Linked DNA regions of Nothobranchius furzeri. The protein of the gene in region 2 purifies or fractionates together with the protein of the main gene of each other region. This does not show direct contact. Links are inferred from orthologs where the notes say so. Each region holds a gene or a part of one and is shown on either strand. Other genes may lie near its edges.

Region 1 (5,473 bases), on a different chromosome or scaffold from region 2:
CTAACCCAAACGATGGAAGCTTCAGCTTTGACGATTTCCTGGATTTTTTGAGTGCCTTCAGTGACTCGGCTACGTTGGAAATAAAATCCCACTATGCTTTCCGTATATTTGGTAAATGTTGATAAAACACGAGCTGGTCAGTTTTTTCTTAGCTGCACTGATCTTGTCTGATCATTAGCTTTATATTTTCAGACTTTGACAATGATGGGACCCTCAGCTGTGGCGATCTGGAGAAGCTGGTTGACTGCTTGACTTATGAGTCGGAAGACTCGCGTCTAACCACTGAGGAAATGAGACAGCTCATAACTAATGTGAGTTCACTTCGACTGTTTTTTTTCTCTCAAAGATGCAAGAAGCACACTCCAAAGAGATGCTCTGAGGCATCATCTGGGCACAAATGAATCTTGCTTTTGTTTAGATCCTTGAAGAGTCAGACATCGACAAGGATGGGACGGTGAATCTCTCGGAGTTTCAGCATGTCATTTCAAGATCTCCAGACTTTGTCAGGTGGTTTTCCCAAAATAATATCTGACACATAAATCTTGAGGAAATGTTTTCTAATCATCACAATTGTTTTTTTCCCCCCACAGTTCTTTCAAGATTGTGCTGTGAGGCCTTGGAAATGGCCAACTTTTAATTTTGTTTTTAGTGAAAAACTATACTTGCCTTTAAATTTTACTTACTTCTGGATTTTACTCTTATGATTTTATGAATTGTTTGTGAAATTTATATATATATATATATTTTATAACATCTTTAAAATAAAAGTTTAAGGTATTAGATTACTAAAGTTCTTCATTGACACAAATAATTTATTACAAAACATTTTCCACAGCGTAACTTTCTGATGTAATTTAGACTTCCTTGTACGCCGACCAAAGTCCAACGTGGGGGCAGATTCAGGGGATTGTCAGGTATTTTTGAGATCAAGTACTCCCTTCTTGACGGCGGCAGTAAAAGTGTTCCACGGCCCACACACCACATCGACAACATGCAGGTCCTTGGCCTTAAAAAACTCCACACGTCGCGGTTCGTCTAAACTGTTAAATGTCTGGTGTCCAAGTTGGCCGTATTCTCCTGGGGGACAAGAACAGAAAAAGAATAGCTTAATATTTGCTGATAATATATTAAATTTCAATTTGAGTTGATATCCTGTTGTAAGAATAGAACAACTTTATTGTCTGACACCAAGCGGTTACAGAAATTTGTCTTTAAGAGGGCTCATCGTCATCCACCTCATCATTCACACTTTCATAGAACAGTAAATACAATAAAAAATCATAAAAAACTAAAAACACAGATATAAGCTTAAAAGCCATAAAACCAAAGATGCAACTATATGCCTAAAACACATCAAATCATTTGCGGGTTATTGAAGTTCTGTGTCTGTTGAGGGCTGTGATTGTATTTAGATTCAACACTTTAGTGAGATCGAACTTACCCCATCCCCAAGTGAACAGACAGCCTGAGGCTGAAATAGAAAGATATGCTGTATTAATGATGCCCTCATTGAGAAAATGTTTCAGCTTAAATCTATATCTGAGGTACTTGTTACTGCAGCCGTGTGCCGGGAACCACAGCTGGCTCTTTGGAAGTCAGATGATGGATTAACATCCAGCAGCGCAGGAAATGCTTGGATGGAAATAAATACTTCTTCGTGTTTATCTCCATCATGTGGCTCCTCTTCTGGCGTACTGACATCAGACAGTTCTGTATAAAACAAACCAATATATGTATGTGTATGTATATATATATATATATATATCTCAGAATTTTAGATAATTAACCTCAAATTATGATAAATGGCCTGTACTTGTATAGCGTCTTTCAGTCAGAGGACTCTAAAGCGCTTTACAGTGTTTCATTGATACACACGCACACACACACACAGGTTAAGTAAGGTTCTGTTGTTTTAAACTTTTTTTTTTTTTTGCAATCTCAAAAAAAAAAAAAGTCTAGAATCTAACACTTGAATTTTCTAATGCCAAACCTGTTGGTTGAGCCTTTTTCTGCTGTGGAGCTTTTTGTAGCCCTCGTGACGGAAGTCCCAGCTGTCCGCTCTCATTCCAGCCCCACACATAGAGGTCACCTCCTTCTAAGAAGCACAGTTACTATCTATCATTTATTTATTTTTACTCGTGTCTTTGATGTAACCCTTTTATTTAATACCGCTGATGCAGACAGAGTGCCAGCCTCCTGCAGCCACAGAGCTCATAGGCACGCCCCACAGAGCCTCTACTGTCCTCGGCTCCTCCTCGGAGACGAGTCCCCCATGTCCCAGCTGACCATGGCTGTCAAATGAGCACATTAATAAATGCAGAAGAATGGGGCTCCGATTTTCATTATAAGTCAGTGTTGGCATCACCTGCCCAGTCCCCAGCTGTAGACAGCTCCAGGGGCAGTCAGAAGGATGACATGATCTCCCCCCAGAGCCAGGCTCTTGGCTTGCAGGTGAGGAGCCAAGGAGCGGAAGATGGGAGGCTTGGAAGCTATGTAACCACCAGGTACCAATGGCAAATTCACACCTGTATGAAAATGACAGAAAACATGTAACAGCATATTTGTGGTGATTTTCTGATGTTCAGTACACTCAAATATCCAAATACCAGAGCTCTCTGACTGGGGGATGATCTCCATGCTCCATAGTGGAGTTTTATCTTTCCTCTGCACATCCCAGGATTCAATTCGGTCTGGGAAGGCAAGAGTGAGGTGGGATTCACTGATGATTGCATCTCTGCAGCCCCTGGTATCGTTGGAGATGCTGGATGCAGAAAAACCGGCCAGCCACACACATCTGCTCTCTAAAGAATAAGAAAACACTAGTTTGTATCCGCATAAAGACCATATTCCTGTCAAATAGGTAGAAACCTACCGTGCAGACATGCTCTTCGACTCCAGCTCGCCCTGATCTGACATGTCTTCAGGCAGCAGCTGTGGTCCACGTGACTCCGTAGCTCTACAGGGACGCTAACTTTGACTTCTCCGACCGCGTCGCTGGTTTCCTCTTGAACAGATTTCTCCTGGACGCATATTTGTCCAAAAGCATTGAAGCCGAAACCAAACCAGCTCATTTAATTCGTTCTTAAATCCTAAGAAAGTCTCCTGAGCGACGAAACGCAGGAATCAAAACACACAAAGAGCGGAAGAACCCGGAAGTAGCGCGCATGCGCAAATGGTAAGTTATTCTTTAGGGGGATGTTCAAAGCAGAAATCCATGATTTCAGTTTTTCCTCCATGTGTAATTGATATTCCACTGATGTGTTAACAGCATCTTGTTGGTTTACACAACCATACCTGGATGCAACAGACATGAGACAGGACGGTTAATTCCAATAGAAATATTTATTTTCAATCTGTGCACACTAATGAAAGACACACAAATCACACATTTAAATCTCTTAGAATGTAGTGAAGTAGTAATAACTGAAATAATGTATTATAAAAATGACAAGCACAAATATTCTAACTAGTGATGGCGATGCAAAATATGACATCCGGCTGGTTGTGAAATAAAATGATTAGCCAGCATGTTTGTGTAAAAATGTTTAAACCATCTAGGAATGTCCTCTTTATTAAAGAAACTCAGTTTGGAATAGAATGATTGGTCGACGAGAAAAAAAAAGTGCAAGGGCTGGTCTATATCCTTACAACCAGCTCCAAAAACACAATCAGTGAAAAATTCTACATTTGACAATATTTGTGTAATGGTTTTACAGTTATATATTAATTTTGTTATTGCTTCACTGCTTTTTGATTTTAAAAAGTTAGGAAACACATTTTTTGGTATAAATGAAATGACTCCCATTTTCAAATGAAATCTAAAAGCACTTAAGACAGCAGAGAGGCACACCCACAACTGCAGCCCTTCATTTGCCCTTTTCCTTCTCCTCCCTACTTTGGATGATGCCGTACTCAATAGCTTTATCCAGACAGTCCAGAGCGATCTTGGAGACAGGATCCACTGTCCCCTCATTTGCGATGACGGAAAGAATCTCCATAACTTCGCTCTCCATGAGGGTCTCAGCCAGGCTTTTCTCTGCCTGCATCATGTTCTGAACAATGACCACTCCACGATGCCGTAGGTCAGGAACTTCACTGAGCAGCAAAGCCTGCAGAATCTCTAGCCAATGGGTTGTCTGAGAAGAAAAAAAACAAACAAACAAAAAAAAAAAAACAAATGTAAAGAACAGATTATTTAGTTTTTGTGTAAATTAAACGTCTAGTTTTTCTTACAGTTTCAGGGATGCGGGTGCAGAGCTCAGGCTGTTCAGCAGTCAGCATGGCCAGAGTTCCTGCAGCAGCTTTCCGAAGCCTTTCACTCTCTTCGCCACTGTAAAGCACCAGCAGCTTCAGCCGATCATTCCCTGTGGCTAAGTACAGCTTCTGCACCTGAAAACACAGATTTAGGCTCACACCGTTCTCAGACTGAGTCATGGATTTTATCATTTAACACGAGTGTTACCTCTGAACTCAGAACTAGATTACACATGCACTCTGTAGAAGACGCTCTGATCAGGTCGTGTTCCTCAAACATGTAGCCTTCAATTTTCGGAACAGCTTTTTCTTTTATGATCTTCTGTCTGAGACAAAATAAAGAAATTAAAGTGGTGGGTTTTGTTTTTGTAAATTTTAACGTCATGAGGGACGAGTAGAAAATATTAAATAAAATTAGAAACATTTCTCTGTGTTTAGGTGTGCTTTTATGAAGTGACTGCCCCCTAGTGGCCAACCTGAGTCTTTCACTAATGCCAGCCAGGTTGGTGAGGGCCATCAGTGCTTCGAAGTTCTGCAGCATGGTGCACTCCAGTCTCAAAAGGTTCACAAGTGGGCGCACGACCTCATAGATCTACAAAAAAAGCAGATTAAATAAGAAAAATGTGTTTACTTGGCGTAGTCCGAGGTACTGTCAGCATTCCTACCCTCTCTCCAGGAAAGGCAATCTCTGGGTTAGACGTGATGGCTATTTTTGCGAGGGCTTGTGCTGCTTTGACTTTTCCTACATCTGTGTTGTCAGTTGCAAGAGGAATCAAAGCCTGTTTAGGACAGCAGAAACATAAATCACCTTCTGAAGGGAAAATTCAGGATCCGTTCTAAAAATTGATCACGCTGTTCTACCTTTCCTCCACCCTGAGCCACTACAGTGCCTCTGTCTTCCTGCCGCTCCACCAAAGCCAAGAACACTCTGCCACGACAAAGTGTGTTGAGATATGTACAAAAAGAATAGTCGGAGAAAAGACGTCTGCTTTTCACTTCCTACCTGGAGATACATTCCTTACAGGCTTCGGTGAGGGCCGGACTCTCCTGTTTGACCATGCACACCAAGGCAGACACGACACCAGCTTCCAGGAGCTTAACCACCCTTTTCTCCACAAAAGAATGTGCATCCTGACATGAGAAGGCAGCAAAATTAAAGCAAAGAGACACAAAGTGTCAAGACAAATCAATAAACACTGGCATAAAACTTTTGCAGCAC
Region 2 (5,133 bases):
GCCAGAGGCGTACCTGATCAAAAAGCTGGTGCTGAGCAAGATAACCCACGGCTCTCTCTCCACTCTGAGAATCCTGGACCTGAAAAATAACCCTAACAGTATTATTCATCATTAGAGATGATATGATATAACTAATAAATGAAACTCCTGTAGGGTTCGCTGACTTTTTCTAGAATGTACTTGTCGATGAACTCGTTGATGGTGAGCAGTGTTTGTGACCAGTCCTCATCCGTGTACCTGGACCCCACCTCCACAGGAACCGTCCGACAGCCCGCCACCGACCTCAGATACTCTAAGCTTTGCAGGAGGGAGACAATTACCAACACAATCCACCAAAACACACTGATCATTGTGGTTTAAGTGGTGCACCAAAATATGTTAAATGACCACTTTTGGATGAGAAACAGAACCCAAGAGTTTTGAGTCAGAACTAAGAATGAAAACGAGAAGACGAGGGTGTCTGGGTGAGCTAATCAACCTGGGCCATCACTATGAAGGAAAAAACCCAAAACTTAGATCGTTAAATAAACCACAATAACTGGAAATCTGTATGTTACATGTCAGCTGTCCCTTTGAGAGTCCTCCAGCTTTCTGTCCTCTCAGCTGGAAAAGTGCACTTAGCTATTGTCACAAGAGCAGATCAGTCTGATTACACGGCTGGACTGAATGGAAGTGGGGCTGTTATATTCCACATCGCCGGAGGGTTTTGTTAACTCTGAAAAGCTCATTCTGACAGAGTAAGACTCTTGTAGTCAAACTTGCTTTACTACTCCCGAGTGTTTTAACATGCGGACTATAAAGGAACATGGTGATTGTCACGTAGAAATAAACATGCTAACGAGCCACATAACAGGGAATAACAACATTCAGCTGAAGGAGAATGTATTCTGATGAGACAAACCTCCAGGGACGGTTGTTGAGGGCGGGCCAGTGGTCGATTATCCCTTCTAAAATCACCGGCTTGAGAGGAACCAAGTACTTTGTATTGAAGCTTTCCAGAGAAGGACACTTAATCCTCTCCACCGCCAACTCTTCTTTGATTGGAGGAACACGTGGGACCACAATCTTCATTCTCTGGTAATGACGACAGAAATAAATGGGGGGGGGGGGGGTCATTTTCAGTCTAATAATAAAAATGACCTAGTTTTAAACTTTTAGGGTCTTTATGAGGGTGTGTTGACTTCCTTTACCAAATATAAAAGTTCAATTTGTTTCAAACGGACACTTGGCGAAACAAAAAGGAAACATATGAACATACAACTGTTATTAATAACATGTTTGTGACATTTTAAAGACCAGATTAAAACAGCCGGTATAGAAAAATGATAAATAGCCATCACAGCCCTGCTTTGTAAAGAATTACTCACAGATTCTTTGGATGCTTCAACAGTTTTAGGTTGACATTTTCAGGGCACAGACTAAAAATGTATAATCAAGTAAAAAAACAAACAAAAAAAAAAAAAACAGAAGCAGCAGCCAACCCCCGTCTAAACAAAGTGATCTGACCTTTGAGAATGTGTGGCACTTCATCTTCAGTGACATCTGATGAGGTGCACCCAGATGAAGGGCAAGAAGGGAGATACTTTTTATAAAAAATAACTTTTCTACAGTCTATTCCACAACATCAGCCTTGAACTTTTGATTATAATGTAAATCAAGAGTTTCACAACAACACCACATAAAACACGTTCCTCTAACTTACTTGAACATTTGCTAATTTAAAGGATAAAATAAATTGGCCAGCTGACCTTGGCTTCAACATAGTCCGTTTCTTCTTTAGTGGTTTTTCTTATTTCACTTTGCAGAATCCGAACAAAAACCTGGAGTATATTATCCATGACGGCCGCGCCCATGAGTAAACCCATGTCACACGTCCTGACAGCCTGAAGGATCTCGTGCTCTGATGGACTTTCTCGACATAAAGCGGCCACTTTAAACAGGCAGCCATAGGAGTAAAGTCGCCTCCAGTCCTTGTCCACATCACGCCATGTTCCGGTGTTGAGTCTCTCCCATGAAATGTCCAAAACGACTTGAGCATAAAGAGTTTGGTTGTTGCTTCTTGTGGTGCTGTACAGTTGGTGTCTGGATCTCGTCAGCATTTCCACCACACTCGACTCCACTTTGTCACTGAACTGCAGAGGGAACTGTTCCTCATTAATCGGTAGAGCAGCTGAGAGTTTTGACCACAAGGATTCCATTGACAACTAGGTCCTCCTGTATTCTGTAGAATGAAGAAACAAGAAGTGCCAAAGCATCGCAAAATGTTAGAATGCAGTGTTAAGCTAAAGTTGTAGCTAAACTGTATGGAAAGTCTAACTTGGATTAAAGCCAACACTTTTCAGAGGTATGGGCTGGAATGTAATCACATGCATGCTTGGCTGCATGCTGGGCTCATCAGTGGCCCAATCTGCAATCCCTACCCACCACCACACACATACACTGGATTCTTGTTTATTTCATTAATGAAAAATCTCTCTCTGCTGCATGAAAACAGAAGTCTGCTCCTAATTTCCAAACTGGCAGACACAGGTGAGGACATCCTGAGCCAGAACTGGTCGTGTGACACATGCACAATGACGGCGCTCTCTGGAAGTGCCAGCCCTGTCTTTGTGTGACTCCATCCATGTTTGGATGCTGCTCTGTGATGCTGGAGGTGCTGCCAAGGCTTGAGGCAGCCAACTTTGTGCACCTGACTCTTTTGAAAATAGAAAATCCCAACCACGTGAACGCAAATGCATGCTAGATTGTTCCAAAATTAAGATTTTTTTTAGTTAATATATCACATGTCTAAAGGGTGGTGCAGCCCTGCAGCAGTTCCCAGAGACAGAAATGCCAATAGATGAAACACTCGAGCCAAACAGAAAAAGAGGAAAACATTAACATAGAGCTGGCATTTAAAAATTACACAAAATATTTCTGAAATTCCTCTGGTAAACAAAAGTTACCTTCATCTTTTAAACAAAATGTTAAACAACTGCAGACATGTAGACACAATTCGCTTTGAGCTCTTTAAAAGGCTTTTGTTGCCAAATCTCCCTGACTTTAAGACAAGTATATTACGTAATCAATTAAAAACTTTTTAATGTGACCAAACTTCTACTCAAAAAACTCAAATCTCCTTAAAGGTAAAACAACTTTTTACAATCAGCTAACGCGTTGTGAACGTTGTAATGCATTTATACTTTTTTTAAACAATGTTGCAAATATAAAAAGCCACTTTAGTTTATTTTGAAGGCGCCGCACCTTAAAATAAACCCCAGCTTAAAATCAGAACAGTTGTTTAGTAAAAAGCAAAGTAAAAACGACTATTTACCTGTTTTGTCTTTATTTACATCGCTAGCCACGCTAACACGGCTGCAGCTAGCGGTGGGACAACAAAAACACACCGGAAGGGAACCGGAGCTGCAGGAAATATCAGTTCCACTTTTTAGTAGGTGTTGTCAAAACTGTGAAATGGCTCCAAAAATAGGGATGATTAATCATAAAATCCAGTTTTATCACAAACCGAAGAGTTTCAATGATCATGGTATGTTAAGTCTTTGATTTTGACACAGAAAAAGCATTAATTCACCGTCTGGTCCAGCAGAGGGTACTGTAAGTGGAAATCCAAGCTGGACTGCTACAAACTGAAATCACACACTTGTTTTTCATGTGTGGGCAGTTTCCTACTATCTATACACTCTCCCACATCACACTCCCACACACTCACATTTGTCCACATCTTAGTCTTGTTGCAGCTCAGAAGTTCGTTCATCTCTCCTCTGAGCTCTCTGTTATTAAACCGGTTGAAGCTGAGCAAAATGAGTTTAACAAAGCCTCATTTAAATACACGTCAAGTCATCTACATCTGTTTCAACAACAGGTGGACCAGATTGTCTGATCCCTGTGCTGCGTTGAGAAAACTCTTGTCATGATAAATGATGGCAGAACTGACATTGTCCGTCCCCCCCCCCTCTCTCTCTCTCTCTCTCTCTCGCTCTCTCTCCTTTCATAGCTCCTGCTGTTCATGATTGTATGTTGTGTAAATACACCTATCCCTAGAGGGCTTACTGATTTGTGTCTGCTCACATGAAGCTAAAACAATAATCTGGTTTGTCTTTTTGATGTCACATTCGGGTTTCTGGGTTTTTCATCTCTCTCTCTCTCTCTCTCTCTCTCTCTCTCTCTCTCTCTCTCTCTCTCTCTCTCTCTCTCTCTCTCTCTCTCTCTCTTCTTTTGCAGGGAGCTGGCCTGAACAAACACGACAGGAAAGGAAAACCTTCAGCAGTGGAAGTGTGGAATCTCTAAACTCTCAGCACTATTATCAAATGTCAAACATTCTGTGAAATTCAAATAATCTCAGTGGAAAGCGCAGAGCTGTTCTTGTATGTAAAGCAGACGGGGCTGAGTGACGTGCTGCCTTTCCTGGAATCACAGGGGATTTTAAGATGTTTCAAGCATCTCTGTTCACTCTGACTGTGTAAACAGCAGAATCCTTGTGGCTCAGTCTATTGTTCACTTACTTCCATGAAGGTGGGAAATGCCTATGTGATGGCGAAAAAAGCTGTGTGATTGATTTTTTTTATGCTTTTGCAACTGCTAATGGAATGGGGAAATGAATCTGGTCATGAATGTAGTAGAAATGCAGATAAACAGCATGTAATATCAGCTAAATGACATCAAATTAAGAGGCAATCTTTGCACACCCTCACAGGACTCCGGCCCCTAAAGACAACATTGGATTCTTGTGCTAGAACTGTTTTTATTGTTTGAGGACACTTGATTGGAATCTAAAATAAGTAAAAACTGTTATTTGGGGGCGGGGGGTGTCAATATTTAAAAGAACTTTTAAACTACCAAATGAATGTGCTGGTCTAACGAGTGAATTTCCCCACTGTGGGATTTATGAAGTCTATTCTGTTTTATTTAAATGTTCCAAAGCAACACGTGCTTTTCCACATTTATGACATCCTACAAATCCAAACTAGCTAGAAGGAAAATGAATGAAATTCATACCAAACACAAGCTGGGGTTCCAGGAGGATTTGTAAGAAATATGTAAGACAGCCTCAGAGCCAGGTCGCTGCCTGTATTTGTAATGTACACTGTGATCCATCAGCCCACAGCAGGTGAGACACGCTGCCTTCATTATATT

Evidence for each region.
Region 1: the proteins of kdm8 (region 2) and RCC1 domain-containing protein 1 purify together in Homo sapiens (co-immunoprecipitation; 3 studies listed by BioGRID and IntAct, counting the BioPlex papers as one, with this or other methods). This does not show direct contact. The link is inferred for Nothobranchius furzeri from reciprocal best matches to the Homo sapiens genes KDM8 and RCCD1.

Annotation. Positions count from the first base shown.
Region 1 is NC_091744.1:74,256,343-74,261,815, forward strand, and holds RCC1 domain-containing protein 1, read right to left. Parts: upstream 3,159-5,473; 5' UTR 3,072-3,158; coding exon 2,873-3,071; intron 2,802-2,872; coding exon 2,607-2,801; intron 2,526-2,606; coding exon 2,366-2,525; intron 2,292-2,365; coding exon 2,170-2,291; intron 2,096-2,169; coding exon 1,991-2,095; intron 1,711-1,990; coding exon 1,549-1,710; intron 1,472-1,548; coding exon 1,442-1,471; intron 1,078-1,441; coding exon 911-1,077; 3' UTR 726-910; downstream 1-725. Other genes in the region: calcium and integrin-binding protein 1, read left to right, coding at 1-111, 193-311, 419-507, 591-612; unc45a (protein unc-45 homolog A), read right to left, coding at 3,867-4,136, 4,234-4,389, 4,463-4,580, 4,731-4,846, 4,920-5,033, 5,116-5,182, 5,258-5,385. UniProt on the Homo sapiens protein: Plays a role in transcriptional repression of satellite repeats, possibly by regulating H3K36 methylation levels in centromeric regions together with KDM8.
Region 2 is NC_091745.1:4,851,027-4,856,159, reverse strand, and holds the start of kdm8 (lysine-specific demethylase 8), read right to left. Parts: upstream 3,445-5,133; 5' UTR 3,314-3,444; intron 2,222-3,313; 5' UTR 2,199-2,221; coding exon 1,749-2,198; intron 1,543-1,748; coding exon 1,507-1,542; intron 1,075-1,506; coding exon 902-1,074; intron 298-901; coding exon 165-297; intron 80-164; coding exon 14-79; intron 1-13. UniProt on the Homo sapiens protein: Bifunctional enzyme that acts both as an endopeptidase and 2-oxoglutarate-dependent monooxygenase.